Linked DNA regions of Ovis aries. The protein of the gene in region 1 purifies or fractionates together with the protein of each later gene. This does not show direct contact. Links are inferred from orthologs where the notes say so. Each region holds a gene or a part of one and is shown on either strand. Other genes may lie near its edges.

What was found.
Region 2: the proteins of MAP3K14 (region 1) and CAD purify together in Homo sapiens (affinity purification with mass spectrometry; 3 studies listed by BioGRID and IntAct, with this or other methods). This does not show direct contact. The link is inferred for Ovis aries from reciprocal best matches to the Homo sapiens genes MAP3K14 and CAD.
Region 3: the proteins of MAP3K14 (region 1) and TIMM13 purify together in Homo sapiens (affinity purification with mass spectrometry; 3 studies listed by BioGRID and IntAct, with this or other methods). This does not show direct contact. The link is inferred for Ovis aries from reciprocal best matches to the Homo sapiens genes MAP3K14 and TIMM13.
Region 4: the proteins of MAP3K14 (region 1) and IKBKG purify together in Homo sapiens (affinity purification with mass spectrometry; 6 studies listed by BioGRID and IntAct, counting the BioPlex papers as one, with this or other methods). This does not show direct contact. The link is inferred for Ovis aries from reciprocal best matches to the Homo sapiens genes MAP3K14 and IKBKG.
Region 5: the proteins of MAP3K14 (region 1) and HSP90AB1 purify together in Homo sapiens (affinity purification with mass spectrometry; 4 studies listed by BioGRID and IntAct, with this or other methods). This does not show direct contact. The link is inferred for Ovis aries from reciprocal best matches to the Homo sapiens genes MAP3K14 and HSP90AB1.
Region 6: the proteins of MAP3K14 (region 1) and CDC37 purify together in Homo sapiens (affinity purification with mass spectrometry; 5 studies listed by BioGRID and IntAct, with this or other methods). This does not show direct contact. The link is inferred for Ovis aries from reciprocal best matches to the Homo sapiens genes MAP3K14 and CDC37.
Region 7: the proteins of MAP3K14 (region 1) and NFKB2 purify together in Homo sapiens (affinity purification with mass spectrometry; 6 studies listed by BioGRID and IntAct, with this or other methods). This does not show direct contact. The link is inferred for Ovis aries from reciprocal best matches to the Homo sapiens genes MAP3K14 and NFKB2.

What each region holds. Positions count from the first base shown.
Region 1 is NC_056064.1:44,656,709-44,660,509, reverse strand, and holds part of MAP3K14 (mitogen-activated protein kinase kinase kinase 14), read left to right. Parts: intron 1-2,870; coding exon 2,871-3,000; intron 3,001-3,229; coding exon 3,230-3,361; intron 3,362-3,801.
Region 2 is NC_056056.1:34,315,861-34,319,661, forward strand, and holds part of CAD (CAD protein), read left to right. Parts: intron 1-543; coding exon 544-726; intron 727-871; coding exon 872-976; intron 977-1,405; coding exon 1,406-1,645; intron 1,646-1,889; coding exon 1,890-1,971; intron 1,972-2,239; coding exon 2,240-2,406; intron 2,407-2,565; coding exon 2,566-2,730; intron 2,731-2,873; coding exon 2,874-3,005; intron 3,006-3,194; coding exon 3,195-3,396; intron 3,397-3,741; coding exon 3,742-3,801. UniProt on the Homo sapiens protein: Multifunctional protein that encodes the first 3 enzymatic activities of the de novo pyrimidine pathway: carbamoylphosphate synthetase (CPSase; EC 6.3.5.5), aspartate transcarbamylase (ATCase; EC 2.1.3.2) and dihydroorotase (DHOase; EC 3.5.2.3).
Region 3 is NC_056058.1:18,946,893-18,951,181, reverse strand, and holds the start of TIMM13 (mitochondrial import inner membrane translocase subunit Tim13), read right to left. Parts: upstream 2,621-4,289; 5' UTR 2,570-2,620; coding exon 2,450-2,569; intron 2,358-2,449; coding exon 2,289-2,357; intron 2,119-2,288; coding exon 2,020-2,118; 3' UTR 1-2,019. UniProt on the Homo sapiens protein: Mitochondrial intermembrane chaperone that participates in the import and insertion of some multi-pass transmembrane proteins into the mitochondrial inner membrane.
Region 4 is NC_056080.1:79,920,316-79,924,683, reverse strand, and holds the start of IKBKG (NF-kappa-B essential modulator), read left to right. Parts: upstream 1-1,529; 5' UTR 1,530-1,622; intron 1,623-1,938; exon of another isoform or gene 1,939-2,743; intron 2,744-4,368. UniProt on the Homo sapiens protein: Regulatory subunit of the IKK core complex which phosphorylates inhibitors of NF-kappa-B thus leading to the dissociation of the inhibitor/NF-kappa-B complex and ultimately the degradation of the inhibitor.
Region 5 is NC_056073.1:17,733,267-17,737,672, forward strand, and holds the start of HSP90AB1 (heat shock protein HSP 90-beta), read left to right. Parts: upstream 1-1,364; 5' UTR 1,365-1,464; intron 1,465-2,805; coding exon 2,806-2,952; intron 2,953-3,264; coding exon 3,265-3,471; intron 3,472-3,565; coding exon 3,566-3,725; intron 3,726-3,872; coding exon 3,873-4,006; intron 4,007-4,123; coding exon 4,124-4,406. UniProt on the Homo sapiens protein: Molecular chaperone that promotes the maturation, structural maintenance and proper regulation of specific target proteins involved for instance in cell cycle control and signal transduction. Undergoes a functional cycle linked to its ATPase activity.
Region 6 is NC_056058.1:12,789,671-12,794,212, reverse strand, and holds the start of CDC37 (hsp90 co-chaperone Cdc37), read left to right. Parts: upstream 1-1,702; 5' UTR 1,703-1,797; coding exon 1,798-1,899; intron 1,900-4,542. UniProt on the Homo sapiens protein: Co-chaperone that binds to numerous kinases and promotes their interaction with the Hsp90 complex, resulting in stabilization and promotion of their activity. Inhibits HSP90AA1 ATPase activity.
Region 7 is NC_056075.1:22,795,712-22,798,759, forward strand, and holds the end of NFKB2 (nuclear factor NF-kappa-B p100 subunit), read left to right. Parts: intron 1-25; coding exon 26-239; intron 240-392; coding exon 393-562; intron 563-677; coding exon 678-780; intron 781-908; coding exon 909-1,060; intron 1,061-1,190; coding exon 1,191-1,260; intron 1,261-1,495; coding exon 1,496-1,668; intron 1,669-1,781; coding exon 1,782-1,893; intron 1,894-1,991; coding exon 1,992-2,116; 3' UTR 2,117-2,275; downstream 2,276-3,048. Other genes in the region: PSD (PH and SEC7 domain-containing protein 1), read right to left, coding at 2,952-3,048. UniProt on the Homo sapiens protein: NF-kappa-B is a pleiotropic transcription factor present in almost all cell types and is the endpoint of a series of signal transduction events that are initiated by a vast array of stimuli related to many biological processes such as inflammation, immunity, differentiation, cell growth, tumorigenesis and apoptosis.

The DNA.
Region 1 (3,801 bases):
TTCTAGGAGCCTCCTGTTGCTCTGCCCTGATCTGGGCTAGAGTGGCTTTGGCCAAGTCCAGCCAGCTGTTGTTACCAAGCCCCTGCTCTGTGCCAGATGCTAGGCCCGGGCTGGGGACAGAGGTGTGGGGTCCACACACCTGACCTGAAGGAGCTCGGATTGTAACGGGGGTGGACACTTACATGGTGGAAAGGTGGTAGAAGCAGCCATCAGCCGGGCACGTGGGCAAAGTCAGCCAGGATGAGTGTTGAGGAAATCAGCACAAGGACCAAGAGGAGACTGTCTCCATGACGATGAGGAAATAAAGGACCAAACTATCTGCCTCTCACATATGATTGTTCCTGAGATCTTTAAAAGAGCTTGTAGAATTGCTTTTATTCCCTTATATTTACTGGTGAAAGAAAATGAATATGAATACTAAAGAAAACAAGAGGGAGTGTTCCAAGAAGGAAAGAGAGACCCCTGGTATAAAGCGTGCGGGCAGTTAAGCAGAGGGAAATGGCCTGTGGATTTGGCAGTTAGGTGATTGCTGACCATTCTTCCACCTGGGCATGCATGCTCTTGAACTTCAGTAAAAAATGTCCAGGATGTAAAAGCTAATACCCCTGGAAAACGGCCTTCAGCAAGGTATGGAGCTGGCAGCTCTGGAGTGAGGCTTACCCCCGCCTGAGACCCCAGCTCTGCCCCTTCATATCCCGTGACCTTGAGCAGGTCACCGGTCTGATCTTCAGCTTCTTTGTCTATAAAATGAGATGATATCACCTCCGAGTCTATTGTAAGATGCAAACGATGAATAAAGTTCTGAGCACAGTCCCTGGAATCTGTTAAGTGGGCATTAAATATTAGTTCTCATTAACATACTCATCAGAGTCCAGCCCTCACTGTACAGATGAGGACACTGAAGTCCAGAGAGAAAAAGGTGGCCAGATGGGCAGCTGGCCTGGATTAGAAGGGCAACCTTTCTCCCTTGAGAGCATCCTTTCAACCTGCTCTCCCTGGAGCTGCCCCAGACTTCTAACACACCTTGTATTTTGAAGTGTCCCTTCCAACTCCCTTTGATCAAAGTGGTTGGGAAGGGTTTTAATATCACTGGGGTACTCTGAAAGACTTACGAATTTCTTCAGAATTAAAGCCTAAGCTTCCAGACTTCCTTGGTTCACAGCCCTTCATGTCATTTTTTCAAGGTGCCCCAGACTAAAGCAAGTTTCATCTGTTAAATAATTGGGTCAAGTAATAAGTCTTTATCCTAACAATCTAGTAACCCTTTGCATAACAACACACATAAATGGAAAGATAAATTTCCTTCTTAAACAACCATAATTACTAACGGAATGTATATCCTGTTGGGCACGCACAACTTCTCCACCTTTGAGATCACTGGACACCATCCCTTCACATCCTGCTCCACACTATCCCCCTAAAGAACCTTTTTGTCACAGCAGCCTCCAAAAACCTACCTTCATAAAGATACATCCTCAAAAGAATGCAGTGCAGCCATGGAAACTGAACTATCTCAGGCTAGTAGTCTAGGTGGTGTTCCCAGATGTCACCATCACTGTTCCCCTTGTGAGCTCTCTGTGGTGCGCGCTTCACCTCACAGTTTGGGAGCAATAGGGTGAAAGACATTTGCTAATACAAGTCCTGTCGACAAATTAGTTCCAATTCAGGTTCAGAGCTGGAAACACTGACAGAGAGTCAAAGTTCGTGCAAGATGATCAACCAGATATTCTGCAAGTAATCAGAAGAGAGACATTTTCCACTGATAGGCAAAAGTCCAAAAGCCGCACAAGTCAGCAGGTCTCCGAAGAAGACTGCCAGACCCTGACCGACTGCTTCCTGGCTAGTGTTGTTACCACTCCCGCCCCCTGGTGGCACTTCTCGGGGATAACAGGCAAGCCAACTGCAGCCGGAAGGAAAAACAAGTCTCTATTATAGGAAGTATAAGCATTTATTAAGCGGCTCTCATTTGAGCTGGAGGGAGGAGGCAGGAGCTACCATACCTGAGCACCCACTGAGGCCTAGTGCTGGTTATCACCCCTCCAAACCGCTGCCCTACACAGGAGCAGAGGCCACTGCCCCCACCATTCACACATGGCTTAGAGGAAGTGATCCACCTTTGGAAACTGCCAAGCCAGGGTCTCAGCCCGGGTTGCTTGTATCCAAGGCCTATTTCTTTCCTCCATGCCACGCTGGTCCCTGCAGAGGAGTGGGTGGTCCCCAGCCTGCCAGTCCATTGCAGGCGGGGCCTGGGCCAAGCCCCTCCCCGTAGGAGAATCCTCTCCTATGCCCAGATCCCGGGGAAACAGCTGCAAACAGAATAAACAAGCACTGTTGCATCTACATGGACATTTTAGCCCTCAGGGGGAAAGGCAAACAATTATCAGCGAATACTAAGTGCTGAGAAGGATGCTGAGGATCCAGAGGCACTGACAGAGCCAGAATCTTGGCTGTCCCAGCTCTGGCTACAGAAGCATCTTAAGACGTGGATGTTGATAAACAAAAGGTCCCATAACCTAGAAACTGTCCGGACATTTGAGCTGGGGGGAAGGAAAGTTCTGTGTTCAGCAGATCTGAGGGTGAGCAGCATGCCAGGGGCCTGGATAAGGACTGTCGTTTTTGTGTGACTGTTTCCATAAACATCAGCACTGTAGAACTTTAGTCAAGTGCTAGGCATTGACCCTGACCGCCCCAGGGTTCACGCTTTAGTTTCTAAGTGTCCAGCAGGCCCTTCAGGGCCCTGCCTGGCCTCAGAATCATCACCAGGCCCATCCATGGTCTCCATGTAGGGAGCTCCAAGGGTCCAAATAGGAACCCAGGGAACCAACCCCGGACCTTCAGCTTGACTCCCACCCACCTCTGGGCCCTTCTAGGTGCGAGTCGAAGTATTTCGGGCCGAGGAGTTGATGGCATGTGCAGGATTGACCTCCCCCAGAATCGTCCCTTTGTATGGAGCTGTGAAGGAAGGGCCTTGGGTCAACATCTTCATGGAACTGCTGGAAGGTAAGGAGCCAGGGGCCACTCTTACTCCCTCCAGAGTCAGAGCCAAGAGTTTCTCCAAGTCTTGCCCAGGTTAACCTTGGTCCCCAGTCAATCCAGTTTTAAACCCTTGACCTCATGACATCAGCAAGAAAGGCCTGCTTTCTACCACCTGCCGTTTGAAGTCTCTTGCCCTTGGCTGACTTGGAGGCCTGGAAGAGCTCCATGTAAAGACCAGCCATTGATCTCCTAGGTGGTTCGCTAGGCCAGCTTATAAAGCAGAAAGGCTGTCTGCCAGAGGACCGGGCCCTTTACTACCTGGGCCAGGCGCTGGAAGGGCTGGAATACCTCCATACCCGCAGGATTCTACACGGAGATGTGAAAGGTGAGGCCCAGGGCACCCGTGGCCCTGGTCCCTGTTGGGCTCCTACCTCGCCCCATCATGCCTGCTTCCTCCCAGATCTTCTGTGCCTGCATCAAGGTGGGTGGGCTGAGGAAAGGAGAATGTGTTCTCCCAGCCCTCAGCCTGGCACTGTGACTTCCAGTGGCTGATGCCCACAGGGAACACTAATCAAGCTCCTGCTTACTGGTGACCATGGGAGGGGAGGGTAGCAAGGCTGAGTGGCCATATCCCCTCACCCTCTGAGAGCCTGCCTGCTGCCTGCCTCCAGCCTGAACTGATCCCCGCCTCCCCCCTCCCTCCATGACTAATGAAACTAATCAGAAGCTGCAGCTGCCACGTAGGGTCAGCCAGAAAACTGCCCCGCCGGAGGTTTAAATTGGGCCGGGGCCCTCGGTGACTCACCTGTTCCTCTTCTTCCCCGG
Region 2 (3,801 bases), on another chromosome or scaffold:
TGCTGCCCAAGCTATGTGCCCATTGACGAATAAAGTGAGCACCTCCTGTGGGCAAGGCCTTGCTGGGTGGTCAGGGAATAAGATGGCCCTCCTCCCTGAGGAGTGTCCACTCTAGTGATGGGAGGCAAGAGAAGTTGGTTCCCAAACAGCTTGCTTCTAGAGGTTCCCAAACAGCTTGCTTCTAGGATAGCATGTGATAAAATTGCAGAGTAGAGACCGAAGTGAAATGCTCACGGAGGTGCCACTTCCACAGAGGGTGACCCGGGAAGGTTCAAGAAGAAAGGTGGTGTTTGCACTGAGCCTTGGAATATAGTCAAGGTTTGAGATTTGCCGAGCTTGTTGAGGAAGTGTTCCAAGGCTAGGGAGTAGCCTCGTGGAGGCCAAGGGAAGCGCAAGCCTGTTTGGGAAGTAGCCAATGATTGGCGGGTTCATGTAGGGCAGCACGGGGAAGGCTCACCCTGTCTGGAGAAGGCCAAGAGAGGAGATCATTGCCACCCCTCCTGGTGCAGGGATGTGGGCCGCTCTCACTTCCTGCTCCCTCAGGTGCCCCAGTTCTCGTTCTCCCGCCTGGCGGGGGCTGACGTGGTGCTGGGTGTGGAGATGACCAGTACTGGGGAAGTGGCTGGCTTTGGGGAGAGCCGCTGCGAAGCCTACCTCAAGGCCATGCTCAGTACTGGTTTTAAGATCCCCAAGAAGAACATCTTGCTGACCATTGGCAGCTATAAGGTAAGAACCCACGTTGGGGGTGGGGGGGTGGAGGGTAGGGTGGGCCCTGAAGAGGTGGGGGTGGGTACAGATGGCCACTGCTCCCTGGGCCAGGGCTAACTTGAAGTGGAGGACAGGAGAAACAACCTCATCCTCCCTTCTTCAGAACAAAAGTGAGTTGCTCCCAACTGTGAGGCTGCTGGAGAGCCTGGGCTACAGCCTCTACGCCAGCCTGGGCACCGCTGACTTCTACACAGAGCATGGCGTCAAGGTATGGGGTGACCCCCCACTGCCCGCCCGCTGAGATATAAGAACACCCGGATTCTCTCCTGTTTCCCTGCTTTCCATGTCATTGTACGAATCATCTGTTCCACGTAGAACAGTAGAGTATACAGAAAAGCAGAGAAAAAAAAATCCCTCGTGATCTTTCCACCACTGTTAACATTCTGGCATATTTCCTTCCATGATTTCCTCTGTGTATTGTGTGAGCTCCATACTGCAGAATCCTTGGTAACCATAGTGTAAAGATTTTCTGGTCAAGAAAAATGCTTTGCCTGCAGTAAAGTGAAGTGGCCTGGTCCCTCTCCTGTGGGTCCTCAGTTTCTTCCTCGGCTCCTAGGCCACCTCCCCCCTCCCTTCACGCTGGCCTCTTGGCCCCCTGCCAGGCTCAGGTTGCTCCAGTCTTGTCTCTGGGCTCCAGGTGACGGCTGTGGACTGGCATTTTGAAGAGGCAGTGGATGGAGAGTGCCCACCACAGCGAAGCATTTTGGAGCAGCTCGCTGAGAAAAACTTTGAGCTCGTGATTAACCTGTCCATGCGTGGGGCCGGGGGCCGGCGTCTTTCTTCCTTCGTCACCAAGGGCTACCGCACGCGGCGCCTGGCCGCTGACTTCTCCGTACCCCTCATCATTGACATCAAGTGCACCAAACTGTTTGTGGAGGTAACTGAGACCCTGGGCGCCGGGACTGGGGCAGCCAGTGTCAGCAAGGGAGGAGGCAGAAGTGAGCATGCTCTGGGGCTGGGAAATCTCTTCATGGAGCGGCCTTGCTAGTCATCAAGCTTTGTGGCTGCAAAGAGAGAGGATGGATGTAGAGAGGAAGCCTGGTTTATGGGAAAACCCAGGCCCCATCTGCAGATCCCAGGCTGCCCTTTGATCTTTGCTGACCCTGATTTTCCCCCCGCAGGCGCTGGGACAGATCGGGCCAGCCCCTCCTCTGAAAGCGCATGTTGACTGCATGACCTCCCAGAAGCTCGTGCGGCTGCCTGGTAAGTGCATCTCGGGAGAGAACCTGGCTCCTGTACATCAGTAGGGGCTGTGGTGAAGGACGGCTGTGGGGCCCACTCAGCCCTGGACTGTTCAGAGTGGGAAGGGCCCAGAAGCTTACTCACTCTGAGCTCTTTATTCTCCATCCACGATGCCCCTGACTGAGAGCTTCACCACCTCTCACTGGTGTCAGTCGCTGCTTATTTTCCTACCTTGATGCCCTTGAGTCTCTGACTCTCCCTCCAACCTGCTGCCTGTGTGTTCTCCCAGGATTGATCGACGTCCATGTGCACCTGCGGGAACCAGGGGGGACACACAAGGAGGACTTTGCCTCGGGCACAGCTGCTGCCCTGGCTGGGGGCGTCACCATGGTGTGTGCTATGCCTAATACTCGGCCCCCCATCACCGACGCCCCTGCCCTGGCCCTGGCGCAGAAGGTGAGCCCCGGTTCTCCTGCTTCCTGGTGACCCACATCCCCCACCTGCCTCCCCCACCTCCCTCTACGCTGCTCCCTCTACCCCTCCCCAGGGGCCAGGCCACGTGAGCCAGGCTGGCACAGGTGCCGGTGGGCCCTATCTCGAATGTATTCCTTCCAGCTGGCAGAGGCCGGCGCCCGCTGTGACTATGCCTTATTCCTCGGAGCCTCGTCGGAAAATGCAGGGACCCTGGGCACCGTGGCTGGGTCTGCGGCGGGGCTGAAGCTCTACCTCAACGAGACCTTCTCTGAACTGCGGCTGGACAGTGTGGCCCAGTGGATGGAGGTAGGGGGTGGGTGGGGGTGGGGCCAGCCAGCCAGTGCCCCTGGTTTGAGGGCCCCCTCATGACAGGCTGGAGGCAGTGTGAGTTGGGAGCCCTGCAAGGGCTCGGGCGCTGCAGGGTCCCGGAACCTTCCTCCTTTCCCCAGCACTTCGAGACATGGCCATCCCACCTCCCCATCGTGGCCCACGCCGAGCGGCAGAGTGTCGCAGCCGTCCTCATGGTGGCCCAGCTGGCCCAGCGCTCTGTGCACATCTGTCACGTGGCACGGAAGGAGGAGGTGAGAGCCCCAGGGGCGCCCCTGTGGCTTTCCCAGTGACTCCAGGTGATCAGGATGGTCCTTGGGGGCAGGGGCGGCTCAGCACGCCTGCCCCGTGACTTTCCAGGAGGGGAGGTTGGCTGCGGGGACTGTGCAGGTCAGGGCCTCGAGGGACAACCCCCACCTCGAGGTCTCCCCACTCTCCCCCAGATCCTGCTGATTAAAGCGGCAAAGGCACGGGGGCTGCCGGTGACCTGTGAGGTGGCACCCCACCATCTGTTCCTGAGCCGTGATGACCTGGAACGTCTGGGGCCCGGGAAGGGGGAGGTTCGGCCCGAGCTTGGCTCCCGGGAGGACATGGAAGCCCTATGGGAGAACATGGCCGTCATCGACTGCTTTGCCTCCGACCACGGTGAGAAGGCCCGGGACGTACCCCCTGGCCCAGGGGATCTGGGCCAGGACCTTGGGCTCCATGAGGCCTGGGCTTGGTCTGGGTGGGACTCCAGCCAAGTTCCTGGTCTATCATAGGCGCTTGATAGGTATTTACTGAGAGAACGAATGAGCAAATGAGGAAACAGTAAATGAGAGAATCTGGGTGGAAGGTATGGGCCCTGAAGAAGGCAGCAGTCCCAGCTTCCCTGTTTTCGGATTCCCAGGAAAAGCTAGAGTCTGGGTTGGTAGTGAAGCCTTTCTTGGTGGCGTGTGTGACTCCCCAGCATGGAGGCCACTGTCCTGAGGGTGGTGCTCTCTCCCCCAGCCCCCCACACCGTGGAGGAGAAGTGTGGGCCCCGGCCTCCCCCCGGCTTCCCAGGGCTGG
Region 3 (4,289 bases), on another chromosome or scaffold:
TGAGAACGTGGACAGCCCCCGAGGGTCACACAGGTGGGGTCCACATGGGGGCATGTGAGGGATGCCCCCCCAGCTCCAAAACCCACCTCAGGGAGATGGACGCACTGAAACATGCCTTAAGAGGGGAGAGTCAGAGCTGTACACACCTACGGGATTGGAACTGCCTGCCTGGACATCACTTCACATCCTGTCCTCCCTGGGGGTTGGGTTTGAGAACCTGGGAAGCTGGAAATCCAGAAGACCAGTTAGACCCCCCCCAGGCGCTGCTGTAGCCTGCCAGACTCCTCTGTCTGTGTGATTTTCCAGGCAAGAATTCTGGAGTGAGTAGCCATTTCCTCATCCAGGGGAACTCCTTGACCCAGGGATCAAACCTGCATCTCCTGCATTGCCAGGAGGATCCTTTTACCACTGAACCACCTGGGAAGCCCAGACCCTAGGTGGGCAGGACCTTTCCAAGTAATCTCGACCACCCACTCTGATGATTATAGGGCATGACTCCACGGGCCACCATACCAAAGTGACATCATCTACACCTGAGAAAGAAGTTATTGAGCCACCCACTCAATATACTAGTGAACCTGCCACAGACCTTAAATTACCCCCTTTTTTTAAAACCATGCCTCAAAGCTTGTGGATTTAGTAGCAAATATTCTCGACAACAGGCTGCCCCTTGATTATCTCCTACCTGAGGAAGGGGAAGTCTGCACAGTTAAGACCTGCTACATGGGTGTCAATAATTCCGGTCAGATCAAGGTAAATACAAAACACAGGTATGAGCAAGCTCAGTGGTTACACAGATATAACACACTCCAAAATCCAATCCAAGCTCCATTTGGTCAAACAGAGGCCTCCTTGGCTTAGCTTGGCTTCTTCCATTTCTCTACCCACTAACTGCTATCATCTGTCTGCTCATCTCTGGGCGGGCCTCTTTAATTGCCTCCTCAACTTCCGTTAGTGAACAGCTTTAAGTCATCAAACTTCAGGACGATTCGAATGCAAGGATGCAAGTACATGGGACTGCAGCCTGGTGACCATCACACATATTTTAGGCTCATCAGGGAACAGTTCTGCCCCCCTCAACTAGGGAACAACCACACCCATGTGTTCAGCAAAAAACAGCCTCAGCTTCAGAAGTCAGACCATTTGTCCTCCAGTGCCCCTCAAGAATGAGGAGCAGTAACAAGAAAAGGGGAGGCTTTGTCGCCAGGGGAAAGCCAGGAATTTGCTCAAAACCTGCCAACCACAGCCCCTCCCCACGTTTAGCAAGAGTTAACATAAACCTTTAAGTTCAAGGGTCCAGAGATAAAAAAGGAAGTGCTCCCTCTACACACACACACACAGAAAAAAACAAGTGGAACCAGCTGAGACCAAGTTGGCAGCAATCCAAACTCCAACAGCCCCTGCATCTCATTACATGTTGATTTTACTGTATGAACATATTAAACAACACACCTCCCAGCAGCCAGTACCATACATTAAAAGACCAAAACAGGATAAAAAGGAGGTGGTCCCCCACTTCCTCAAAAAAGCCCTGCCCCTTCCCAGGTAAACTAATAAACATGGCTCCCCATCACTGACCTCACTCCTCCCTTTAAAATTAAATCCCTCTCGCCAGGGGGTTGTCAAGTTCAGCCCTGAACTAGTTCAAGCTTCTCCATTCTCTGGCCGCTGAATAAAGCTTGTGATGTGTCAACCAGCACCCTCCTCCCAGGCAGACAGTGTAAGCCGGGTTGAGGCCCCATCACGGTCCATACGACTTAATCCGTTAACAGGCGCACAAAGGGAGGTGGCACCGGAGCCAAGGCCGCCCCTACCAAAACCCAAGCTACACCGGCTAGCAGGTGGGAGGCTAGGCGGAAAGGACGGGTAGAATCCCAACGGTCCCAGCACCAATGTCGTCCTCATAAACTTCTGGTAGGCAGTACGCACATGCAGGACCCCGCCTCACAAACAGCGTTTATGGAAATAGGTCCGGGGGTAGGGCAAGGGTTGGGGGGTTGGTCTGCTGGCGCGTCGCGGTCACATGTTGGCTCTTTCCCGCTGCAGCCGCGAGTTGTAGGCACGTGACACGGTGTTCCAGGCGTCCATGTAGCGGTCCATGCACATGGCGATGCACTTCTGGGGAAGGAATGGGCGAGCCGCTTAGGTCTGGACAGCTGCTGGTGCCCCCGCCCCGGTAGCGGACTGCGCACGCGCAGCATACTCTCCACGCCTCTTTATTAAGTCAGCGCACGCGCGGAGGCCACCCCACCGGGTCCAGCCCGTGACCCCGCCACCCCTGGTTTTACCTGCTCCGAATTGTCCAGGGAACCCCCCGGCTTCCCGATACACTTCCGGAAGCACTTGTCCGTCATCCTCTGTGGGGACACGCGAGCCCTCAGTTGCGACACCGGCCCCGGCGGATCTCGCAGCCCTTAGTCCCCCACCCCGCCCCCGGCCAGCCCCGGACCTGTAGCAGCTCCTGCGCGTTGGCCACGGCGATCTGCACTTTCACCTGCTCCATGATGAGCCCTGGGTCCAGCTTCCCGCCGCTGGAGCCCCCGAAATCGGAGCCGAAGCCGCCCTCCATGGCTCCGCAAAGTCAACCGGACCGCCGCCGCGTGCGCCGACCCGCACTCACGCCGGAAGTCCGCTGCCCCAGGGCCCCACGGGAAATGGAGTTCCAGTGGGTGGGAGCAGGAGCCGGACTACAACTCCCATAAGGCTGCGCGAAACATCCCGCGCACGCGCAGAGAGGAACGGGCCGAAGTCGGATTCCCGTGTCGAACTCCGGGGTTGAAAGGCCCGCACCTCCGCGCTTAGGCTCCACCCCCAAAGGTCCCGCAGGGCGTGCACACTGGACGATGGGCGCGTTTACCCTGCGCTTTGCAGACCTGGTAGCTCCAGGCTGTATTAGGGAACCAAGAGCGCTGCGGGGTGTCGGTGCATCAGATGGGGGAACGCAGAAAACTAGCGGTCCGAGGTCAGATGGGGGTCCTAAGACATCCGCTTAACTAAGTGGCTTAGGCTACTACTACGGCAGCCTGGCGTGGGAGTAATAACTCACGGGCAGAATTTAAAACCAAAATGTTTTATTGGATGTTGTACAAAAAAGTTTCCAGTCTTAAAATGTATATTACAAATCATTGGAGGAAACAAAAGATCACACGTTTGGCATGCATCTTAAAAATCACCATCTGAAATGTGTTTAGACAGCCAGTTGCTGAAACTTGAGTCCCCTGGCATGTAGTGCTGATGATCCCTTTCGGGCTTGGAATTAAGACCTTTCCAATAGCGTTAATATCCTTGAGGAATGGCAGTCCCCGCTCGGATGTGCTGATATAAATAGAACTGCTGGGTAGACGGTGTGGTAAAAACGAGCCCAGGTCAGAGCCTGGCTGTGATGAACACTGAGCGCCCAGACCACGGGGAAAAGGTATCCGTGTCTCCCCGGCACTCGGTCCCTTCCGAGGGCTGGGCCGAGTGGCTGTTTTTCTAGAAGGGTGCTTCTCCTCACATGACACGGCTCAGAAAAAAAGAATCGCTTCTGCATCATTTCAAGTGGCTTAAAGTTAAGCATGTTTAAGGAAAAATGCAAATTTTCAGGCCAAGGCTGACATTGTAACACTGGACTTTGTCCTGTGTTCCCAACTACTTAATTACCAAAGACTGATAATTACCAAATTACCACCAACCTCCAGCCACAAGTGGCCACCGGTCCAGCGCACCCTCCCCTTACCAGTCAAGGGCTTCCCAGCCTGCCAGGGCCACTTCCAGGCTCCACTCAAGATCTCAGCCAGGCAACCACTGGGCAGGGATGAGACCAAGAACTGGCTAAATCAAGATGTCATCTAATAAGCCTGGGGGTTCTGCAGGCACTGGGCAAACCGAGGCAGTTTTTTAGGCCCTCTGGGCCTGCCGGGAGGGTGGGGCCCTCTCTTTTCCTTCCTGAAGTCCTCAAGCCCAGCCTGCAAAACTGCATCACACCCAGAATTCCAGGACACAGCTTCGATCCCCAGAGATTTCCAAAATACCCTGAAGGGTGTGGGTGAGACCAATGCAGTTTCCACTCACCCCAGGACCACCCAGACCCCATCCCACTCTCCAGACCCTCCAGTCCACTCAGCTCGTTATGCCAGGGGAAGGGAGCAGCCTGCACCTGGAAGCACTCCTGGCAGGGTGTGGGGGGCGAGGGAGGCGTGGTACAGAGCGTGCTGTCAGGACAGGAAGCTTCTCATGGGCTGCACCATTTTTCTGGTGAGGCCACCTCCCTCCACAGGGCAAGCACAGCCCTCAGGCCAAGGACTCTG
Region 4 (4,368 bases), on another chromosome or scaffold:
CAACAAAACAAGAAAAGAATTCAAGATTGGTAAAGGCTTGACCACATACTTCACAACAAGAAAAATCAATGGTTACTTAACACACAGGAAAGTGGTCAAGATGACCAGTTGTCACAAAAATACAAATTAGACCACAATGAGATCCAGCTTGACCTTCACCAGTAGGTTGTAATCTGAAAAAACTAACCCCATCTGGTGTTGGAGGTGGTGTGGAGGAAACACTTGCACCAGGGTTCACAGCAGCCATAATTCCCAACAGCCCTGAGCTGGGACACAGTGAAAGGCCATCAACAGGGGATGGACAAGCTGGATATCTACACAGTGGGACACCTACTCAGCAACACCAAGGGATGAGCCAGGGGGATTCCCTGGTGGTCCAGTAGTTAGGACTCCACCACAGGGGTTTGCGGGTTTGATCCCTGGTAGGGGAACTAAGATCCTGCAAGCCACGCAGGGGGCAAGAACAAAGATTACAAACCAAGAAAAAAGGGATGAGCCAGTGGCCTACTCAACACAAGCAATTCTCAGAACCAGAATGCTGGACACACAAGGCTCAACACCCTGAGTTCATTTAAGGGAAGCTTTAGAAAAGGCAAAGCAGCCACAGTGACAGAAGTGAGAGTCCACAGCAGGAGGTGGACTGGCTGGGGAGTTGGAAACGTTGCCTCTGGTTATAAAGGTCAGAACCGATTGGACAGAGAAGATGTCTTTCGATGTGTACGAATGTTGCCTACAAATAAAAAGACTGAAAAGAACAACTGAGCAGACGGCGGGCGGTGCTTGCTGTTGACCATGTGAAACTTTCCAAGATAATGGCAAGTGTGTGAAGACAGCAACTGTGAGCAACAACATTGTCATCCCACGAAGTCACCCAGTCCCTTCTCTCCAGGCCGGTTTAGCTGCCATAGCCACGGCTACCTGCTTGCTTTTGGTGACCTGACAAAGGAATTCTCCACTCTGGGTGGAAGAGGTGGTGAGCCTGGGCATGGCCTGGGTGAAGAGCAGGTGCCCTTTTATGCCCCCTGCCCTGTCATCAGTGAGGGCTGCTGGGCAGAGCTGCTAGACTCGCCCCGGGCAGGAAAATCACCTCCAGGGGTGAGGACCTGAGTCTTCAGGGCAAAATGACCCTTTAAGAGTCATGTCAGCACTGGACGCAGTCACATCTGTGGACTGTTGCAGAGAGGAGCCGCAGGACCAGAACCGATTGCAATCTGCACCCCTAGACGGGCCATGAGGACGGTAGTTGGGGAGCTACCAGGTGGGTGAGTCCTCCCCTGGCTGGGGGCGATGGGGGCCACTTTTGAGGCTAGCATGCTCAATCCCCATTTGTGGCTTCACCCTCTGTCTCCTGGGCTGAGCCAACATCTGCACGTGGACAAGTCTGCTCCGGCCCAGGTCTTGGCTAGTGCCCAGCCCACACGGGCCAGTGTCTCTCCGCCACCTCCGGGCTCTAGCGGAACCTGGAGTGCTCCAGTGGGTGGTTCCCAAACCAGGGTGCCCTGTGTTGCAGCCCCCGCCCCCTGTCTGCCAGCCACTTAGAACTGATTGCTGAAGGCTCTGGAGCAGGGCCCCCTCCTGCCGGCCACCTTCCCTGGGAAGCCTGGAGATAACAGCGCCTCAAGGTCAGTCACTGATCCCTGGCTGGGGTCTCCCTGGAGCCCAGCTGCAACCCCTGTGGCCCCTCTCCTCCCAGTGCCCAGCAGTGCCCGCTTTCCGCTGACCCCTCCTGTTGCGGGGCTCCAGCAGGAGAAGCCATCAGTCCCCTGTCGGCGGGCACCTCCTGGCCCAGAGGAATGTTTGCTTCCGGTCAAATTCCAGTGGGTTAGTGTCCTGTCTGCTGAGTCACGGTGCCCTACACCCGACTGCCCTCACCGGTCCATTTGGGATTAGCAAGGGGTGGAACCTGCTCGCCTTGTTCAGCTCAGCCCTGCCACCAGCGGCCTGAGTCACTCACCCAAGGGAGGAGTGAGGTAGGACCCAGACGGGGGTGGGGGCACAGAGGCCTAGGAGGCCCCCCTACCCAGCAGCCTGGGCCTGGTTGCACTGCTGGAGGTAACATGGGCTGAGAGCACAGTGCTCGTGGGGTCTGGAGGAGTCTGGGGCCACGTGGTGACTTAGCAGCAGGAGCAGGGCCTGCTGCAGATTTCCAGCCACCTGCATCTGGCCTGCCAGCACCCTGATCTTATCTCAAGTCTCCAGTTTGATGAGCCCTTGGTCTCGAAGGGTGTTAGGGTGGAGCACGTGACAGTAGAAGTTGGGAGGCCGGGCAGGGGTGGGCTCTATCCCCCTCGAGGCAAGATCTGCCTGGCCTCCCTCCTGGGCCGCGGGGCTCATGACTCATCAGCCCTTTGGGGGAGCGCCAGAGTCACCGTGACACAGCAGGAATCTTATCGCCCCAGGAGGTGAGGCGGCCCAGAAGCACCCCCTGAGGAGAGAGGGCCCGGGTCCTCCAGCTCAGCCCTGGCAGGACCCCGTCTCTGGGCTGGGCCCTGGAGCACTCATCGAGCCCATGGCCCAGATGGGGAAACTGAGGCCCAAAGGCAAAGACCGCCCTGCAGAACCTGCACTGAGCCACTTCTGCCCGAGGGGGCTCCTCGGCCTGATCTTTCTCTCATCTCAATCGCTCTGTTTCCATTGGGGGTTAGAGTGGCTCCAGCCTGGCAGGCCCAGGGTTCCTCTCTCAACACTGGTCTGGAAGGAGAAACGGGGTTCCTGGGTTCCAGAGGCCTCCAGACCAGGTCCTGTAAGTACGTCCACTGCCCTCCTACTGAGGGTGGGAGTCTGGAGGAGGGAGTAGGGAGCGGCTGCAGCTACAAGGCCATCAGGTAACTCCTCAGGCTGGCCTTCGGACGGGGCGGAACCTGGGCGCGTGGGTGCGGGGTTGGGCAAAGCCGGCAGGGAGGAGAGGGGCGGAAGACAGCTCATCCTTTTTGGAGTCGCAGGCTCCGCTCCGAGGCCCTGGCTCTGCGGACCTTGGCGCCTCCCAAGGCCTGGGGTGTGAAGGCCTGGCAGTGTTTGCTGTCACATGCACTCACCTTCAGGCCCAGCCCCCAGGCACGGCTCCCACAGTGGGGGGGTGGGGGGGCCTCAGGGCAGGTGCCTGCTGTGCTGTGAACTCCTTGGTCTCCCAGAGTAACAGGTTTGTGCCGCCTGCCTGCCTCCCACATATCCCAGCAGGAAGGGGAGAAACAAAACAACAGAAAAAACAGGCTCTACTTCAGAGGCCCTGGTACTCCCCCACCCCCCGCCCTGCTGGCTGCAGCTGGCACTTCCTCTTTCTGCCCTAGAAGCCTCTGCTGATTGCTCTTGGAACAGAGAAGAGCAAAGGGGAACTACTCGGGTTGCAAAGAAACAATGTTGCCCAATGCCAAGGCCACCACACGTGAAGGCAGGGAGGAGTCACCAAATCAGCTCAGCAGAACCCTGGGGCCCCTTGGTGCTCCAAAGACTTCCATTGCCAAGTGGAGACTGTGGGGTTGAGAGAGGAGGAGACACTTGGCCCAGGCCACAGAACACACTTGGATGCTCTCACTGAGGTGGTTTAATCGGAGTTGAGGATCTAGGGTCATAGGCAATTTACTAAGGCTGGGGACCCTCTGCTGGAATGTCTTGGGACAGGCTGGGATGGGGATGGGGGAAGGAGGAAAAATAATCCTGAGTAACTTTCTCTGTCAACCTATTTCTTGGACCAACTCCGAGGTGTTAAGCTTTCTGGTGCCTCGAGGGATGAGGCTGGGGCCAGGGTGGGGGCTAAGCTGCCCCCTGTGTGCCCCTCCTGGGCATCCTACAGTCTTGGGGTGATAAGACGGTCAGGGGAGAGTTTCGGGCAGCCTTCCCTTCCTTCCCAGCAGCACAGCCCTCCTCGCGCGCAAAGCCCCCTGCCCTGCATTCTGGCTCTTTTTCCAAGTTTTGACCAGAATCACACAACTGGCAAGAAACACGTTCTGCAAAGGGCGGTAGCTTGTTATGATACATGAATGAAGAGCTGAATTCCTCTAGAGCTGAGGGGAGAGGGGTGTGGAAGGGACAGAGAGACCATGCCTGCCCTGTCAAGAGCTCACTCGCTTGGCAGAACTCTCGCTTCAGGTTTATACAGTAAGTCACCACCAGAGATGCTCGTAATCCTGGGGAGCGGATTCTTGGTCCCGTCCAGGATGAAGAGTTTCCCTTTGAGATGAAACGTAGACAGCGTTCCAGCCGTTTCTCATGTCTTGCCACTGGGTTGATCTTATTTCCACGTGGCACATGGAGAAAGTGCTTTTAGTTGGGGGGGCCGGTCATGGCTCTCCAAGGACCCACCCACCCTCTCGTGTTCCACCCCCTCCCAACATGTATGGTCAGCACGCTCTGTTTCTGCCTTTGCTTCTA
Region 5 (4,406 bases), on another chromosome or scaffold:
AGCAGAGAAGGGCGTCCCTCTGGCACTCCCTAGGCAGGTCCATGGCCTTGAGGCTCCTGGGCCACAGCCGAAGGGGAACGACTTGCTTCTGGCACCTGGATGGGGCCACACTCTGACCAGCGTCCTCATGCTGCCTCCAAGAACTCCTGCCACCCTGCAGGAGTCCTGGGAGACCGGACTCTTCCCAGATCTAGGCAGCTGCAGGAGGAGGGAAGAGGGTGGGGAAAAAAAAGAAAAAGGAAGCCAGACTGAGAAACAACTCGATATTCAAGTCTCTGCGCTCCCTCACCTGTGGGCGGCTGGGGGTTGGGGGTGGGAGCGGTCCGTCGGGTAAGCGACCGCATCCCCAGTGTCTGCTCTCGGAAGGCGGCACCCTCAGAGCCGCCCCACCGGCCGGTGTGCTGTGTGATCGATGGGGGGAGAAGTGGGGTCATCCCCGCTCCACCCCACCCGGACGCAGTGCCCGGCTAGCTGGGTCTGGCGGGTAGGGTAATGGATCCCCTCTGCAGTTTCCTGGAGGAAATGTAATGAAGGTATAGCCTACTTGGACACCAGGATCCCAGCAGTGCGGTTGAGGGGCGGAGCCACCGCGGAGGCACAGCCCAGGCCGCAGAGGGCGGGGCGGGGCCTCAAGGGAAGGGGCGGGGCAGGGCCGCCCCGGCCGGTCTGGAAGCTGCTGGAAGTGTCGCAGCGCCGCCGCCCTGGATCCTTCCGCCGCGTGTGCAGTCAAAGAGTCCCCTGGCCGGCTGGAGCCAGCGCCCGGCCCGCAGCCGGAGCCACGCCTCGCCGCGAAACGCCGGCCCGCCGCGGGAGGGCCTGTATTCCAGGCATGCCCACAAAGTGGGACCTTTAATTCCGCAACGCCCGCGGAAAAGAACCCTTTCCCGTATCAGGCAATTAGAGTATGTGTAGGGCAGCTTCTAATGAGGAGGTCGAGCCTCGGAGCGTAGGGGGGAGTGGGTGACCCCTGTTTAGGCTTGGACCTTAGTCCCGAGGCTGGGACTGTCAGGAGTGGAGATGCCTGCCCTGCAGGTTTTCACAGAGGTCAGTGGGGAATCCTCGCTTCTAGTTCCACCGTTTATGTTATATGATTACTCCCAACATATGTTTCTGATGGTGTCCTGTTTTAGGAACGCGGAGACGGGGCTGTGAACAGGAGTAAATAAGTGTACTTGATCTCAAGGCCGGCGGCTCCCGCCTTTCAAGGTCCCCTCCCCTATTTTGGACCGTGACGTCAAGGTGGGCGGGCGGGCGGCGGCAGGTGCGCGGCAGACAGGCATCCTCCTTTAAGGCGGAGGGATCCGGGGGCGGGCAGCTGGGCGGTGCTTCGCCTTATATAAAGTGATTGGGGGCACACAGCCGTTCTCTCGAGTCACCCCCGCGCAGCCTTCTTGTGGCGAGTGAGCCCGAGGAAGCCATTGCCTGCTCGGTGTTCTCTAATACCTGTGATTGTTATCCTTGAAGGTAAGGCTCCTGTCTCATCTGGGCTTTTCAGATTAGCTTGTTCTTTCGCGTTGCTTTCGGCCCACGCATCCTTTCCGAGACCTACATCTCGTGTTGGGACCGGTTCTGGCGTAACGCTCCCATTGCTTCTCTTGGGGGAGGGCTGGGAGCGAGCTTTTGAGTTTAGACTCTATGTGATTGGCGGCGGGGCTGCTTTCCCGCAGCTATAAAGCGTTGTTTCGTGGGGCCGCAGAATGGGGCGGGGGGGTAGGCACTGCACGTGGTGGCCGCGCCGGCCCGGGACGCTGCCATGTTTGCCTCTCCACTTCCGGACGCGGCTACGGGGCGCCGGAGGGTCCCCGAGCCGGGCGGGTGGGCGCGCCCTCTGTGACTCAGCAAGGCTGGTCATGACCAGGTTTTGCCACTTGTTCTATCGGACACAATTTTTTTAAAGTCCTTTCTTTCGGGGCTTTTCCGTGAGGCTCTGCGAAGAGCTCCGTTTTCGGTCGCCGGCGGCGTATGTCGTGCTTCCTCCATCCTTCCAGATCTTTCCTGCGTCTCGGTGGAGGAGGGGCTGGCGAGCGGAGGGGGCAGGCTTTGGGATTCGTGGGCACGTCCCTTCCCCCGCCCCTCTCCGAGAACTGAGATTGTTCTGGAAGCTTCTGGAGCCCGGCGCCCCGCCCTGGTGCCCGGATGTTGGGGCGAAGGGAGGCTGCGCGGTGGCGCCCCCTCCTCGCGTGGTCGACGCATGTCCAGCCGTGACGAGAGTCGGCCCCGCAGACTAAGGCCACCATCTTAGTGTTTGGTTTGGGCTTGAGCTTCAGTCACGTGTGCAGAGAGGTCACGATGGAGCCCTTTCTTTATCGGTTCTTTGTCTTGATAGCCCACCTGGATGGGCATTCCGCCAATCTCGAGTTAGCTGTCCCTACTACGGGAGGCAGCAGTACCACATTATCTCCTTGGAGTTACCTAATGGGAGGACAGTTTTAAATGATTGCCCTTTAATGTGAAACTAATTACTTTGAAGGTGGAACGATAGTAATTTGCGTATTTAAATATATGGGAATTTACCTCGCTTTCGAGATACCTGGGTTGGAGTGCCTAACTAGATTGTGCTGATCTATGATTCACTTAACAGGAGTTTGGGTTCACAATAACTTGCAAGAAACATTAGCGCAATTTGTTCAGTGTGTTAGGTGCGCCCCTCCCCCCGTTGTTTCTAAGGGTGCTGCCTGAAATTGATAGAGGGAAGGATTTTCCAGTCTTTGTACCCAGCTCAAAACAGTTTGAATAGAGTCTCCTTAAGTGTATTGTGGCTGAGGGTGAACTTGAGGAGTCTTAAATTCTTGCTTTTTATTTTAGATGCCTGAGGAAGTGCACCATGGAGAGGAGGAGGTGGAGACATTTGCCTTCCAGGCAGAAATTGCCCAACTCATGTCTCTTATTATCAACACCTTCTATTCCAACAAGGAAATTTTTCTTCGGGAGTTGATCAGTAATGCTTCTGATGTGAGTGCCCTGAATGTCTTCATTGACGTTGGTTTTTTGTTTCTCAAGTACTCCAAGAGAGGGAAAGTGGGGGTGGTTTGGCATTTTGTGGTGTTAACTGATAAAGGGGGGATATAAACTTAACTGCTGTTCCAAAAAGTATTGCCTTGCTCTCTGTGGATAGATGGGATACTGTAACCCACTGGATGTCGTTCTCAACCTACAAGCTAAAGGAGTAATCAGAATTAGCGTATTTGGGGAGTTTAAAAAACTTTTTGGGTGAGATGGGTTTTGAGGAAGCAGAATTGTAAAACTGCAATTTTGTACTTTCAGGCCTTGGACAAGATTCGCTATGAAAGCCTGACAGACCCTTCTAAATTGGACAGTGGTAAAGAGCTGAAAATTGACATCATCCCGAATCCCCAGGAGCGTACTCTGACTCTGGTAGACACGGGCATTGGCATGACCAAAGCTGATCTTGTAAATAATTTGGGAACCATTGCCAAGTCTGGCACTAAAGCATTTATGGAGGCTCTTCAGGTACGTGGTTGGTTAGGCACACTCCATTTATATTATTGGTGTTTGCTTTGCCATTTCTTTGAAACTTGAGTTTGACTTTTAAACTTTTTGGCAGGCTGGTGCAGACATCTCCATGATTGGGCAGTTTGGTGTGGGCTTCTACTCTGCCTACCTAGTGGCAGAGAAAGTGGTGGTGATCACAAAGCATAATGATGATGAACAGTATGCTTGGGAGTCTTCTGCCGGGGGTTCCTTCACTGTCCGGGCTGACCATGGTAAGTTGGCTTTCCTGTTAAGGTGTCTGGATTAGCATTCTGGGGAAACACTAATGAAGATCTTGAGTATTGTATGTGTAAAGCAGTTATAGTTCTGCGTTTGTTTATTTAGTTTCTTATATTCTGTTCTGATTAATTTTTTTCTAGGTGAGCCTATTGGCCGTGGTACCAAAGTGATTCTCCACCTGAAGGAAGACCAGACAGAATACTTGGAAGAGAGGCGGGTCAAAGAAGTGGTGAAGAAGCACTCTCAGTTCATAGGCTATCCCATCACACTTTATGTGAGTATGGACTGGTAACTCAAGTGCAGGTAACTGCTGCTTGAGAGAATTGCATGGACTTTGGGGTTTTTTTTTTGCTTTTTTGTACTCTGAAACTGTCATCTTTGATACTTCTAGCTGGAGAAAGAACGTGAGAAGGAAATCAGTGATGATGAGGCTGAAGAAGAGAAAGGTGAGAAAGAAGAGGAAGATAAAGATGATGAAGAGAAGCCTAAGATTGAAGATGTGGGCTCAGACGAGGAGGATGATAGTGGCAAGGATAAGAAAAAGAAGACAAAGAAGATAAAGGAGAAGTACATTGATCAGGAAGAACTGAACAAAACCAAGCCCATTTGGACCAGGAACCCTGATGACATCACCCAGGAGGAATATGGAGAGTTCTACAAGAGTCTTACCAATG
Region 6 (4,542 bases), on another chromosome or scaffold:
CCCCGAGCCTACCCGGGAATCCCGATTCGGGGTCCTCCCTATACACCCTCAGCCTGGAGGCCAGCCTGCAGCCCTCAACCGGCTACGTGGGGGGCCCTGCCTTTCTTGGGGAGCGATGGAATTCCCCCTTCCCCGCCCGGAGCCTCTCCCTCCCAGGGGCCAGGTCCCCCTCCCGGCCGCAGTCGTAGTCCAAAGCTTACCTTGCAGGGGGGCTCGGGAGGGGATGCCCCGCCCTCTCCGGCCTGGGGGGCGGGAGGGGACCGGGGTGTCCAGACCCTTTGTTTGCCGGGGTGTGTGTGTGTGTGTGTGTGTGTGTGTGTGTAAGTGTGAGATCGGGAGCCCCGCTGGGATGTAGGTCCGTGCGCGCGCGTACCCGGGCCTTGACGGCCGCTGTGATGCTGAACTGCCAGGGTTGGAGGAGGAGGAGGAAAGGGGGACTCCCCCGCCCCCGCCCGCCTACTCGCGGGTTTGAATGGACCGTGAGGGGGAGGGGCAGCGGCGGGCGGGCGCTTTTGTCCGGATGGCCCCACCCCTTCCCGGGGCCGGGGAATCCCCCACACCCCACCCATTTAAAGACCTTTACTCCTTCCTCTCCAGCGCCCCCCCAAACGCCTGCTTGGTTGGGGGGAGTCTGGAAGAGGCGCCCTTCACTCAAGTGGCTGAATCTCTACCCATTCTCCCTGTCCCCCGCCCTGCGCCCTTTAATCTGAGATAATCCTGGCCCTAGGCTGCAACGCAGCCTTTTATCCCGGTATCAAAGCGTGGGTAGGGATACATGAAAATGTGTGGCTGCGGTCGCCCAAGCTCAGTGTAATAGAGTTCTTAGAGTCTGGAACGAGGAAGGGGATCCCAGACGAAAGAGGGAGGGACTGCGAGGAGTCCCAGAGTACCTCGACGGAGAAAGACCCCCTGCGTGCGCACTTCCAAGCTCTTCCACCCCTCCCCCACCTGGCGCGGGGCACCCGCACTGGCCGCTAGTTAGACACTAGCGACACCCAGCGGATGCATGGGGAGCCGCCGTAGACAAGCTAATGAGGCCCGTTAAGTGCGGTCGGGTGATTCCAGAGGGGGCGTGTATGCGCGAATCCCCGCTAAGGAGTGGCAGAAGATGGGGGAGGCAAGAGGGGAAGCTGTGGTCCGAGCCAGGGAAACACCAGGTCTCAAGGCAGGGCCACATCGCCCCCATCTCGACTCCTCGAGGGCAGGGCCACAACCTTCCTTCACTTAGACCCTCCTAGAGCAGGGCCTTGTACCCCTTGTACTGGGAAGGTCCTTTCCCATCAGGCACCATCTCCAGGACAAAGTTAAGTCCCTCTTCACAAAAGACGGGAGCGAGGTCTTTTCGCCGAGGCCGAGCCCCAGTAGTGGGCTCAGGCTGACGTCACTGTGGCGTGGCTAAGAGGACAATCCTCTTTTTCAGTCTCGCCAACTGCCCCCTCTCCCAAGGCTGCCGTAAACGCCCACCGTGGGGTAGCGGGAGATGAGGGGGGCTCGAGGTTGGAGAACCCACCCGTAATTCCCCAGGAAGGGCCTAGTGGAGGCCGGAAGCCGGATGGGGTGAGGTCTCAGCGGACTCCCGAGAGCCGGAACACGTGCGCAGGGCTCTTTAAGAACTTGGTCGCCAGTGCCGCTGCTGAGGTTACTAAGGATGTGACGTCACGCGAGGGAGGGGTGTAAGCGTCAGGGCGGAAGCGGAAGGGGCGGGGCTCCGCGGGCTGTGTCTCAGTGCTGCCGCTGCCGCCGCCGCCGTCGCCGCCACCGCTACCAGAACCCTGGAGGGCTGGGCCCCGAGGCAAGATGGTGGACTACAGCGTGTGGGACCACATCGAGGTGTCTGATGATGAAGACGAGACGCACCCCAACATCGACACCGCTAGCCTCTTCCGCTGGCGGCACCAGGTAGAGCTCGCGCGCCCAGCCCCTTCCCCCACTCCCGGGACTCCGCTTCAGAGTTCTGACCCCCTGATACTGCCGGGGGGCCCCAGCCATTGATACCTGGGATTGCCCCCTACAGCCTGGACTTTCCGAATAGCCTAGGGTTCTTCGATTCAATTCCGGGGCCATAGAATTGCCGGGACCCCTGAGTTCCTTGCCCGCGATGCCGGCGCCGCCCCCCCCCCCCCACCCCCACCGCCCCGCGCTTCCAGTTTCTTCTTGAAACGCCAGGTTGACCTGTACGGTATATTTTTAGAATTTAGACTGCCAAGACAAGCTTTTGACGTGCCTCCCAATCCTGCTTGGGATCTTCCATTTACACCCAGATTTCTACCTCAGAATCTGGATCCTGAACCTAGTCGGGTACCCAGTTAAGATCTTGGCTGTTCCATGGCTCCTCCTAACCCCTGTGCTCAGTCGCTTCAGTCGTGTCCAACTCTGTGACCCCATGGACTGTAGCCCGCCAGGCTTCTCTGTCCGTGCGATTCTCCAGGCAAGAATACTGGAGTCGGTTGGCATTTCCTTTTCCATGGGATCTTCTCGATCCAGGGATCTTTTATGTCTCCTGCATTGGCAGGCAGGCTCTTTACCACTGGCCCCGTCTGGAAGTCCTCCAAAACCCTAGAGTTCCCAATAGTTTAAGTCTGTTCTGCGACCTGCTTTTCTGGATCCTTATGGTTCAGATCCAGAAGTCTTACTCCTCTGAATAAAATAATTCTGTCTTCCCCTGAGATTTCTGTTCCTGGCTTGGGACTCCAACCCACACCCAGGACCCCTCCCCTAGAACAAAGATTGGTACCCCCTCCCCCCAAGGCCCTCAGTCTCATCTAGGCCTGGAATTTTGAAACTTGGGTCCTGTTCAGAATGAACCACCACCTCCACCCTGATGGAGCCTCCAATTCCGGAGGCTCTTCTTTAGCCTCTGGTACTGTTAGACCCAATTTCCCATTACATCAGGAAACCCTACCCACGTGGCTTCCTGCCCAGCCAGAACCCCTGCCCCTCCTTGGTACCTCACACCCAGTCCCCGCCCACCCCCAAGACAGACTTCCAGTGGGAACCTTTGCCAGCTTCAGAATGCCACATTCAAACCCAAGTCCAGGACCCAAATCCATCCCATCTCCCTTCTGACCCAAACTTGGTGTGCTATTCTCAGACATCCACAATGACCCTGCTGTTACAAGGAACCCACCCATCCTGATTCCAGATTCACCGCCCCTTCTTTTATCTATTTTCCCCCAAATACAGACCCCCAGAATCCCAAGTCTGTATGTTCTTTCGACAACCTGCAACCCCCCCCCCCACCCCCGCAGCCGCTCAGCTGTGCTCACAGACCAACAGAATGGCTCTCCTGAGACCTTGTGTGCTAACTTCTTGCTCCACCAACTCAGAGCTCCTACACCCACATTCCAGGGGCTGCTTTGCTCTCACACTTATGGAATATACCTTCTAGAACTTTCCAGTTAGGAAAACCTCATTCTGTCTTCCCATGTATCAGCTTGCAGTTGTTTATCCAGAAACACCTAGAAGCGCCCTTCCTCATCCTGCTGAGACACAGTATCCGTGCCTACATCTAGTCCCAGTTCTGGGTCCAACCCATTACTTAAAGCAGCAGCCTCCTGGCTAGGGCTTCCCTGGTGGCTCAGATGGTAAAGAATCTGCCTGCGGTGCAGGAGACCCAGCTTCAATCCCTGGGTGGGGAATATCTCCTGGAGTAGGGAATAGTGACCACTCCAGTATTCTTGCCTGGAGGGAGAATCCCATGGACAGAGAAGCCTGGTGGACTACAGTCCATGGGGTTGCAAAGAGTCGGATACGATTAAGCGACTAACCCTTTCACCTGGCTAGTGTACCTGGTGGGAAAGCCACTGGAGTGGAAAAAGAAAGTTCTAGTATTTCTCTCTTGCCATATGTGACATTTTATGATGAAATATTGAAGCTCTCCGCAAAGCTTTAAAGCTCATTCTCGGGAACACCTATTCTTGTCACGAAGTTGATCTCTATCACCAGGTTTGGTCCTGCTGGTTTGGGAGGCCATGCCCGCTCTCATACAGCATCCTCCTCTCACCACGCCCTACTCCCTCCTGGCGCAAAACCTTTCCCTGTCCAACCGCTGAGGACCCAGGGCTGTCGTGGAGATGAGTGGAGGCAGGGAGCCTGGTGTCTCCAGCACGAGGTTCAGCTGCCAGTGACTGGCAGCCTGGGCTCCAGCCCTGCCACAGGACCATCACTGCTTTGGGGGAGCGAGCCCTCCGCCTCCATGAGACTGTCGTGAAAATGAAATGAGATTAGATCTTGAAAGAACTTGGCTCGGCGCCTGGGAGGAAAGAGTAAGCAATACCAAGAGTGGAAGAGGGGATTAGCCAAAAGGTAGCCTGGTACCCTTGTGAGCGCAGGCCTGCCCGACTGGGTTCATATCCTGCTCCTTCTGCATATCACTGACTTGCTGTGATCCAGTGAGGGTTTTTTTTTTTTTTTTTTTTTAATTAATTTGACCGCACAGGGTCTTAGTTATAGTGTGCTGGATCTTTAGTTGCAGCATGTGGAATCTATTAATAGTTCCCCGACCGGAGATCGAACTGGGGCCCCTTGCATTGAGAGCACAGA
Region 7 (3,048 bases), on another chromosome or scaffold:
GGCTCACCCTGCCTGCCTTCCCCAGACGCCCCTGCACCTGGCAGTGATCACAGGGCAGACGAAGGTGGTGAGCTTCCTGCTGCAGGTGGGCGCAGACCCAGCACTGCTGGATCGGCATGGAGACTCAGCAGTGCACCTGGCACTCCGGGCAGGTGCCAGCGCCCCCGACATGCTGTGCACCCTGCTGCGGAGTGGGGTTCCTGCCATGCCCCAACTGCTGCATGTGCCCGACTTCGAAGGTGAGTTCATCACCTCATCTGAACCAGCGGGCAAGAGTGGGCACCAGGGAGAGGATCTGGGGAGCGCCTACAGTGGATGTGAGGTGTGGAGGTCAGCTGGTCAAGGGCTCACATTAGGGGCAGAGCTGCGGGCTGAATACCCTGTATCACTAGGGCTATACCCAGTCCACCTGGCAGTCCGTGCCCGAAGCCCCGAGTGCCTCGATCTGCTGGTGGAGAATGGGGCTGAAGTGGAGGCTGCAGAGCGTCAGGGGGGCCGGACAGCCCTGCATCTAGCCACAGAGATGGAGGAGCTGGGGTTGGTCACCCATCTCGTTACCAAGGTGGGACTGAGGACTGTGGAAGACGTAGAGCCAAGGGCTGGGGACGGTGAAGGTGTCGGGGGAGGCCCAGTGGATCAGTCAGTGCTATGATCAACCCCTCCCTCGCACCCCACAGCTCCGGGCCAACGTGAATGCCCGAACCTTTGCGGGAAACACACCCCTACATCTGGCAGCTGGACTGGGATCCCCAACCCTCACCCGCCTCCTTCTGAAGGCTGGTCAGTCCCACCCTCGGGGGCTTATGAACAGGGCTGACGGGGGAAAGGGGGTACCTCCCAATCCCGCACTTTGCAGTCCTTAACGTGGGCTCCGAGGGAGCCTCCCTGTGACTATCTCCCTCCCCCAGGTGCTGACGTCCACGCAGAGAACGAGGAGCCCCTGTGCCCACTGCCTTCGCCTCCCACCTCTGGTAGTGACTCAGATTCTGAGAGCCCTGAGAGGGACACTCGAGGCAGCTTCCGGGGCCACACACCTCTTGACCTCACTCGCAGTAGCAAGGTGAGGCCAGCCCAGGACTAGCAGTACCAGGGGATGGGGCATCCGGGCTTGTACATGGGGTCCTGAGTAGCTGGTACCTGGGGTCAAGTACTGTGATGGGAGGTAGTCATGGCTGAAGCTGTCTCCCTAGGTGAAGACCTTGCTGCTAAACGCTGCTCAGGACACCATGGCGCCGCCGCTGACCCCGCCCAGCCCTGCAGGTGAAGAGCTCTCCCCCACCACTGCCAGACCCTTGACCCCTGCTCACAGCGGTCTCTTATCCTTCGGGACCACTGAAGGAGGTCTCCCTTTCTCCATCCCCATCCTCCATCCACTGCCCCAGTGGCCCCGCCTGCACTATCTATCAGGTTGCCTTGAGATAAAGGTGACATTTGGGTGTCTTGTCTTTGCCATCTCTGGGGGTAACTAACATGTTTATGTGTGTGTCCCCTTCAGGGCCAGAGATACCCCTTGAAGATACAGTCCTACAGAACCTGGAGCATTTGCTTGACGGGCCAGGAGCCCAGGGCAGCTGGGCGGAGCTGGCAGAACGGCTGGGGCTGCGCAGTCTGGTGGACACGTATCGAAGGACAGCCTCGCCCAGTGGCAGCCTCCTGCGCAGTTACCAGGTCAGTCAGGCCCCGGCCCATGCTCCATGCCCCAGTCTCAGATCTCTGGCGCTTCCTCAGGGATCCCACACCCTAACCACAACTCCTGGTTCATGCCTCCTCCTTCTCCTCAGCTGGCTGGTGGCGACTTGGCAGGCCTGCTGAATGCCCTGTCTGACATGGGCCTGGAGGAGGGGGTGAGGCTGCTGAAGGGTCCAGAGACCCAGGAAAAGCTGCCCAGCACAGGTAAAGGGGCCGTAACTGAGAGGTGGATCTGGGCTTGGAGGGTGGGAGGCCTAAGGCCTGACGCTTCCCTGCACCCTTTCCCGCGTCCACTCCCCCAGCAGAGGTGAAGGAGGACAGTGCCTATGGGAGCCAGTCGGTGGAACAGGAAACAGAGAAGCTGGGCCCACCCCCTGAGCCGCCAGGAGGGCTCTGCCACGGGCGCCCCCAGCCTCAGGTGCACTGAACCGCTCCCTACCCACCAGCCCCTTCCGGGCCCCCTCTGTACAGTGACCCTGCCTGTTCCAGTTCTTATTTAACACCCCATGCCCACCCTTCAGTTGGGGCAAATAAAAGATTCTCATGGGAAAGGGAGGGGGCCTGGCCTCCTCCCCAACTTACAGCAGCCCCTGATGTGTGTGACGCTTGTCCTCGGGAAGCAAATGCCTACCCTGGCCTCAGGCCAGGCACGGGAGAGAGGAGGAGGCCCAGCCAGCAAGTCGAGAGCAGTTTTAATGGAGGTGGAGGTGACACAAAGGGCAGGGCCCACTGAAGGAGGGAAGCAAGGCTGCACTGCCTGGCCTGTGCACGGGGCCTCAGCTTGGACATCCATCCTCCTCCTCTGGCAAGGGAGAGGGTGAGCCCTCAGGGCAAAAGGAGGGAAACCAGCTCAACCCCAACTCCTGGCTTGTGTCTGAGCCAGGCCCCAGGATGGAGGGGGACTGCTGGTGTCAGGGGTGGGGGTGGTCTCAGCAGAAAGCAGAAACGTCAGGTCTCCCCCACAAAAAAAAAAAAAAAAAAAAAGGAGCATCAAGAGTCCAGGGGGCCTGGCCCCTCCCACCCCCATCCCCTGTACGAAAAAGTGCAAAACATTATCACAAAAAAGGGGTCTCAGAGGGGCCCTTAGCCTAAGGCTCCTGAGGCCCATGCCCTAGCCCTGCCCTGCCCCGGACACCGCGTCCGGCGCGGTCAGGCCCTGGACCGAGAGGCCCTCACAGGTGGCCCGAGGCCGGCCCGGGCTTAGGCAGGGCCGTGTCATGCAGGTGCCCAGTGGGCACCGCCCCCCCACTCCCACCCCCAGCTCAGGGCTTCCACCGCCCACTGCCTGCCCCTGCCCGAGCCTCTGAGTCAGGACACTGTGCCCGGGGCTGGCTGGAGGTGTTGGGCAGCAGGGAGGGA